Linked DNA regions of Callithrix jacchus. The protein of the gene in region 1 interacts with the protein of each later gene in a pairwise test. Links are inferred from orthologs where the notes say so. Each region holds a gene or a part of one and is shown on either strand. Other genes may lie near its edges.

Region 1 (4,097 bases):
TTCACTTTGACAGTTAAAATACTTTCTGGCTTAACAGTACTGCTTCAGACGTGAACACGGGGTGCTACAAGTCAAGACCCCAAGTTAATAACTCCTAAGCACTTACAATGGTCCCGAAAATCTTCCTGTTCCCACGGCAAGCGTTAAAGAGTCATTCAGCTCTGAATAATCGGGTGGCTTTGGCATTTCAGAGAAAGCCACCATAAAAATAAATCCCCTGGGTCACCCGGCTCAGAGAGAGGTGAGCGCCGCCAGCCCGAAGCACCAGCTACTAATGATTAAGAACGGCGTGACTGCGGCGGGTCACGCGCTGCCCGGTTCCCGTCGCCGCCGCCGGGGCCCCACTCTGGGAACCCGACCCGGCCGGGAGGCGTCCCAGCCACCTGGGCCTCCCGGCGGCCGGCCCCGCCCCCTACTGAGCTGCAGCACCTGCACGCAGCGACCAGGGCTGTGCAGGCGACGCCAGGCCGCGGCCTCGCCGCCCTGCAGCGCCGCGAGTTCAGCGCCAGTCAGCGGCCGCCGGCAGAGCCTGCCTGCAAAGCTGAGATCCCGGATCTCACCTTCCTGTCCCGGGTGGCCAGCCCGCCCGCCGTCCCGGATACCGCCGCAGTCGGGGCTTCCGGCTCGGGCCGGAAGCGCACGCGCCCCGCCCCCGGAGGCCCGCCCCGCTCATGACGTCAGAGCGCCTCTGCCAGACGCACAGCTTCTCGGAGCGAGAACAAAGCGGCCGAAGTTGGGGCTTGATACCCGGCTCTGGCGTTGCAGGTGGCAGCGCGTCCCTTCAGGCGGGCGGTTGTCTGGGCCTGGCGACTCAGCGCTCTTCAGCCTTGCCCTCTGGTTCCCGCTCGTGACTGTCATCGCCCCATCACTCCTTGCTGCGGAGAGCATCGCAGGGACTTGGAGGACCGGCATCGATCGCTTTGGCCCGCGAGTGTCCGTCCGAGCCGAGGGGAGCCCGCCTTCCCGCCCCTTCTCTGGGCCTGGCCAGGCACCTTGCCCGCCGTCGCACAGACGCGAGCACGGAGCAGTAGATCACGGTGAGGCGAAACAAGCCCGGAGCGGCCCTGTAGGCCGGACAACCGCTACGCAGTTGGGCTGGGCGGGGGGAGGGGCGCACGCCGCAATGCGGCAGACATGGCGTCGCCGCGGGGTGCAGGTCCCTCGGGGCTTAAGGCCTGCACGTTGGCACCTTTAGCTAACCCGTCTGCTCTGTCTTGCAGGCTGCTGGACCTCGCCACGTTGAGGAGATTTCTCTGGGGTACCGCGGAGGATTACTTTGAATTGCGGTGGCTACCTGTGGTCTGGAATATTTAGAACTTAAGTCTATTATTTCGGGCACCATGAGTTTGAGGCTTTTAGAAGACTGGTGCCGGGGGATGGACATGAGCCCTCGGAAAGCGCTGCTGATTGCCGGCATCCCCGAGAGCTGCAGTGTGGCAGAAATCGAGGAGGCTCTGCAGGCTGGTTTAGCTCCCCTAGGGGAGTATAGACTGCTTGGAAGGATGTTCAGGAGGGATGAGAACTGCAAAGTAGCCCTAGTTGGGCTTGCTGCGGAGACTAGTCGTGCACTGGTCCCTAAGGAGATACCGGGAAAAGGGGGTATCTGGAGAGTGCTCTTTAAGACCCCCGACCCAGATAATGATTTCCTAAGCAGATTAAATGAATTTTTAGAGGGAGAGGGCATGACAATGGGTGAGTTGACCAGAGCTCTTAGATATGAAAATGGCTCCTTAGACCTAGGGCAGGGCATGATCCCAGAAATGTGGGCCCCTATGTTGGCACAGGCATTAAATGAGGCTCTTGAGCCTGCCCTGCAGTACTTCCACTATAAAAAGCTGAGCGTGTTCTCAGGCAGTGATTCTCCAGAACCGGAAGAAGAAGAATTTGAACCCTGGCTGTTTCATACTACTCAGATGTTAAAGGTGTGGGAGGTGTCAGATGCAGAGAAGAGAAGGCGAGTGCTAGAGAGCCTTCGAGGCCCAGCACTTGATGTTATTCGTGTCCTCAAGATAAACAATCCTTTAATTACTGTTGATGAATGCCTGCAGGCTCTTGAGCAGGTATTTGGGGTTACAGATAGTCCTAGAGAGTTGCATGACAAATTTCTAAACACTTACCAGAAGGAGGAAGAAAAGTTATCTGATTATGTACTAAGGCTGGAGCCTTTGTTACAGAAGCTGGTACAGAAAGGAGCAATTGAGAGAGATGCTGTGAATCAGGCCCGCCTAGACCAAGTCATTGCTGGGGCAGTCCACAGAACAGTTCGCAGAGAGCTTAATCTGCCGGAGGATGGCCCAGCCCCTAGTTTATTGCAGTTACTGGTACTAATAAAGGATTATGAAGCAGCTGAGGAGGAGGAGGCCCTTCTCCAGGCAGTATTAGACGGGCATTTCACCTGAATCTCAGGGAATCACGAAGGGATATAGCAATGAGCAGAGCATGAAAGTAGAACAGTCTGTACTCTTGTGACACATAAAATCCCTGCCTTGTGCTGCCAAGTTACTCGTTTTTGTGCAGTTGTCAGTATAAGCCCTTTGTTATTTCTGTGCCTATTTAAGATCTAAAGGTGTCAGTGACCAGGAAGGATGTAGTTCTACACTGCTGTTTACCTATTTAAATTCATTCCTGTGAATATCTTGTTTGTTGTCGTTGAGACTGAGTCTTGCTCTGTCGCACAGGCTGGAATGCAGTGACGCAATCTTGACCCACTGCACGCTCCACCTCCCGGGTTTAAGTGATTCTCCTGCCCCAGTCTCCTGAGTAGCTGGGACTACAGGTGTGTGCTGCCACACCCAGCTAATTTTTGTACTTTCGGTAGAGACAGGGTTTCACCATGTTGGCCAGGCTGGTCTCGAACCCCTGACCTCAAGTGATCAACCTGCCTCGGCCTCCAAAAGTGCTGGGATTATAGGTGTGAGCCACCGTGCCTGGCTTCATCCCTGTGAATTTCTTATTGTACAAAAGTTCTTTAACTACCTGTGTACAGTGCTCTGAGGGGACAGACAAGGCTCAGGTGCATATGCTGATCAAATCTCATTGAACTGTCAGCTTGTTTGGTACCAAGTGCAAGTGTGCCATGTCACATGTGACCATGTTGGATCATTAACAATTTTTAGGTATGTGCTAACCTACATTTATGGTGTAGATTATGAGTGGAGGTTAAGATACTAAGTTATTATCTGTATGAATCAGAATTATATTGATTCTGTACAAAAACAAAAGACAGAATTGAATGCTGATTTAAGTTTGCAGTGACCATCTTTAACCACAGATTTCTGCTATGTGTTACCAAAATATCTAGTTCTGAGTATCATTTTCACAATTGTTATGAAATTATAGGTGTGAACTTCTAAAATAAAAGAATGCTAATAAAATGATTTTGTCTGTTTTGTTTATATCAGGGTTCCAAGAGAGATTTCATTTGAATAAAGAGTTCCCAGAGCATTAATCTGCAAACCACTGAACCTACACAGACTTAGTTCCCAGGATTCTTTCCACTTGGTGCTGAGGGGTAGGAAATTGTTTTCTAAGTGAGATTGCTGAGGGGACCTTCTGCTGAAGCAGTAAAACAATTATATTACTGCTTCTACTGTAATATTAACTGACATGCACTCTGAATAGATTAGAAGGTGTAATTCTGATCTTGTTTATATATGTGTAGTCATTTGGAGCATACAGGCACTGTGACATGGGCCACTCACTTGCCCCCTCAGTAGTGGGAAGCAGACATGGTGAATTTGTGCACAAACAAGTGTTAATATGTGTTGCACCTCTCCATCTGTGAGGCACTAAGCTGAGGGCTTAAGACTGCGTCATTACATTTAGACTACAGTCCCTGCCCTGGAGGTCAGTGATGATAGCTCTGTTGAACACCAGATACGGAGCACCAGTGAACACGTTTGGTGCCCCCACAAGCTCAGTCTTTTATTTTCCCCATTGTACGTATGAGACTGAGAAGCTAAGTAACTTGCCCAGGGTTTCACAGCTAGTGAGTGGCAAGGCTCAGACACTTCCAGAGTTTTTGATCTTAATGTATTCCGTGCTGCCTTATTCAGAAACCTACTGTTTCCCCATTTTACAGATGAGAAGCTTGAGGA
Region 2 (3,818 bases), on another chromosome or scaffold:
AAATAGTTACAAGACTTTCTATTCTACATAGTAACTGTGCCTCTGATTTGTTATTATTTGCAAATACAATAAATGGTTGCATTTGCTTTGTGTGGATAAACAGAAAATAGAAAAGTTTCTATGGAGTGGTGAAGGTGGAAGACAAATTGCAAGTAGGTTGAAAAATGAATGGAAAGGTAAATGAAGTGGTGACATAGAGTGTAGACAAATCTGAAGAATTTTATTCAGCTGTGAAGGAAAAGAGCAAGGGACAGCATCTATGAGAGGGGACTTTAAATTTTAAAAAATATATTAATGCCTCAACTATAAAAACTACCTAGCAGTAATATATTAACACTACTTTAAAATTTATTCTGTAAGACACCTCAAATACCCACCAAGCCAATTAAAGATAAAAGGAAAGAGATCAAAAGCCTTTACAGGTAGGAGATGATAATTAGCAACTTGGAATAATATTGTTATTGGTATCAAGCATTAAATTAGATGTGAAGTTCTTAGCAATTGAGACAAAAAGGGACATATAATGGTTTCATGCTTCTCATTCTCTGTTAGAGGTAGCTCCATTTTTAAGAATAAAACTTTCCTGGTACTACATTTCAAGAGGTATTTATTATATTCAATCTTACATGTTGTAACTGAGTTAACATTGTGTGTGTGTGCACGCGCACACGTACTTCAAAAACATTATCAAATGTATGGAACTATATTCTTTCATGGATATAAATAATTTATATAGTGCTATTTCTTTTTTCTATTTACTTTCACATTTTAGGGAATGTTCTTTTTGTGGCTTTTTTAAAAAAACCCAATTCATAGAAAACCCAGAGGTATAATCTTATTGTTGTAAATCAGTGAAGTTAACTTTAATTATAGAGAGAGGTTGATGTACAGATCATTGTTTTCCTAGTTTCAGAGTTGTTACTAGGGAAGAGTTTAGGAAGAGTGCAATTAAACAAGCCTATTAGATTCTTTCAGATACTGCTAATTCTTGATAAAAGCTTTGGCAAGAACTAGATTTTCATCAGTTAAAAGTTGTCGGTATTCTTCACTGTTGATTTTCATGTGCTTCAGATACTGTTTATCAGATATTAGGTGTTTTAAAAATTGAAAGAATATGTATTGACACTGTAGATTTGTAACATAATCAAGATTAGAAGCTGAAATAGTGGCTGGGCGTGGTGGCTCACACCTGTAATCCCAGACTTTGGGAGGCCAAGGTGGGCAGATCACTTGACGTTGGGAGTTCAAGACCAGCCTGACCAACATGGAGAAACCCCATTTCTACTAAAAATACAGTGCAATGCAATTACAGGCATGGTGGCACATGCCTGTAATCCCAGCTACCCGGGAGGCTGAGGCAGGAGTATTGCTTGAACCCAGGAGGCCAAGGTTGCAGTGAACTGAGATTGTGCCATTGCACTCCAGCTTGGGCAACGAGAGCAAACTCTGTGTCAAAAAAAAAAAAAGAAGTTGAAATACTAATGCCATAATAAAGTCACTATAGAAAGGGCTTATTTTTGTGATGCTAATTTGATATATACCGTATATGGTTATCTCATACTAGTGCTTCTTAGGATATAATATTATTAGTTAGGATATAATACCTGTGACTTTCAACATAGATTCAAATTAGCGTTGGTTTAAACAATGTAAAAATTTATTTGTTCTCCCCTCATAACAAAGTCTGGAAGCAGGCAGTCCAAGGCTGGTAAGGAATGCTTCTCAGTGAGATTGTCTAGACCCAGATTTCTTCTGCCTTCTTGTTCCATCATCTCTTGGTGTTTGCCCTTTTTTCTGTAGTGCAAGGTGGCTCATTCTCAATCTGCATTTAGCCAGCAGAAACAGGAAAAGGCCAGTGGTAAAATATGGCCCAAAAGTTGCACATGTCACTTCTCCTCCCAACTGATTGGCACATGGCCATCCTAGCAGCAAGATTGGTTGGGAAGCATAATCTTTAATTCTGAATAACCATGTGTCCTGCCAAAATTCAGGGGCTCCACCAATGTAGATAAAGAGAGTCTATTGGGGTCTATGAGTTCCCTAAAATGATTTGTAAAAGTTCATATATTTGTAAATGTGTACTTTTCTGATAAATTTTATTAGATTCTGAAAAGGGTTTGTGACCAAAGCTAAGTTAAGAATATTTAGATGTTTGTAAAAGGATTTAAATGATTTATTTAATATAACATTTATTTTATTAGCTCTATTCCAATTGATTACAACCTGTATCGAAAATTCTGGTCACTTCAGGATTACTTCAGGAACCCTGTGCAATGCTATGAGAAGATTTCATGGAAAACTTTTCTCAAGGTGAGTTGCCAGTGACAGACTATCAGAAGCCCAGTATTTTATATAGTCAGTAATAGAGCTAAAACTTAATCTTGTCTGACATACTTTTTGCTTATATAATTCTGCCTCTTACATTTTTATACCAATTTCATAACAAGCTAAATTATAAATTAATATTTAAACCCCTAATATTGTGAAGTAACATATAAGAATTGGATATTTAAAAGTTAGTCATTATAGCCTTGCTTTTTAAAAATGAGTGTTGTCAACATAAATTGATGATATTTTGCAGAATACATTCTATCTTTACTTTGCACAAAATTATTTTAGCTATCTTGTTGAAACAGAAGTCCTCAAACCATGGTCTTGGGCCAGATTCAACCTATTGCTTGTAAACAAAGATTTATTGGAATACTACCATGACCATCCACTTACCTGTGGCTGTTTTTGCACTATAATGGCACAGCTGAGTAGTTGTAACTGAGACTATACAGGCCACAAAGCCTGAGATACTCTCTGGTCCTTTACAGAAAATGTTTGCCAATCCTGTTTTAGAAGAATTTTTGTTTTTCTTGGCTACTTAAAGATCAGTTGTCCTTTTTTGTCATAATCAAAATCTAAGATAAATAGGTAGTTCTCTCAAAGTAGCATGGTGTGTATTCTGTTATTTTTAATAGTTTTTATTTTATGTGCAAATTTTTGTGCGAGTAGCACCATCCAAATTCAGATTAAGTGGTTAGTGAAAAATGACCTGGAATTGTCTATTCTAACTGGGCAGAATTTGATGGAATTTATTTGGTCAGTCTTTAGCACAAGAAATGCCTTAGAGTTAATCCACAGGTGATAAGAGAATTTCACTGGTAAATTTCTGTATAGTCTTAAAGTGTTCCCTTCTCTGTTTGCCCCTTACACAAACTTCTTAAGAAATCATATCTTTAGGAGTAGAGAATTTGTTCCTACTTTTACAGTAAGTGAAATATCATACAAAATGGTTTTTAATCTCATTTTGCTATAATAATTTTTATTGTTGGTATGCTTTACAATATAAATACATGATTGGGAGTAAATTCTAGGTATTTTGATGCAGAAAAGAACTAAACAAATTTTGGCAACAATGTTGAATAAAGCTAATATTTTTATTTTGCAGTATTCTGAAGAAGTTTTAGCTGTTTTTAAGAGTTACAAACTGGATGATACTCAGGCCTCAAGAAAAAAGATGGAAGAATTGAAAACAGGCGGAGAGCATGTATATTTTGCAAAATTTTTAACAAGTGAAAAGGTATAAGTTTTTCTTTTTCACTAAGCATAGTAAAAAATGGTCTTGTTTTGTTTCTGTTTAGCTGACAGCCTTTCTAAGTTAAGTTGAATAAAAATGTTTCTTATTGTACTTTTGGTTAAAGCTGATTAATGTTAGTTTGAAAGTCCCATTTCTTCCTTTCTCAAGCAGGACTAATTTGATTTCAAAGGTGAAAGTAGTTCTACAGTAAGTCTGTTTTGTAGACTAATTTTAGAATAAATGCAGTTTAATT

The links.
Region 2: the proteins of MOAP1 (region 1) and THOC1 interact in binary tests that used the Homo sapiens proteins (3 or more experiments, as listed by UniProt). The two-hybrid records come from large-scale screens. The link is inferred for Callithrix jacchus from reciprocal best matches to the Homo sapiens genes MOAP1 and THOC1.

The regions. Positions count from the first base shown.
Region 1 is NC_133509.1:127,995,769-127,999,865, reverse strand, and holds MOAP1 (modulator of apoptosis 1), read left to right. Parts: upstream 1-1,268; 5' UTR 1,269-1,340; coding exon 1,341-2,399; 3' UTR 2,400-3,374; downstream 3,375-4,097. Other genes in the region: LYSET (lysosomal enzyme trafficking factor), read right to left, coding at 107-204; uncharacterized protein LOC103795890, read left to right, coding at 275-1,037, 1,221-1,243.
Region 2 is NC_133514.1:63,784,449-63,788,266, forward strand, and holds part of THOC1 (THO complex subunit 1), read left to right. Parts: intron 1-2,201; coding exon 2,202-2,310; intron 2,311-3,436; coding exon 3,437-3,568; intron 3,569-3,818. UniProt on the Homo sapiens protein: Component of the THO subcomplex of the TREX complex which is thought to couple mRNA transcription, processing and nuclear export, and which specifically associates with spliced mRNA and not with unspliced pre-mRNA.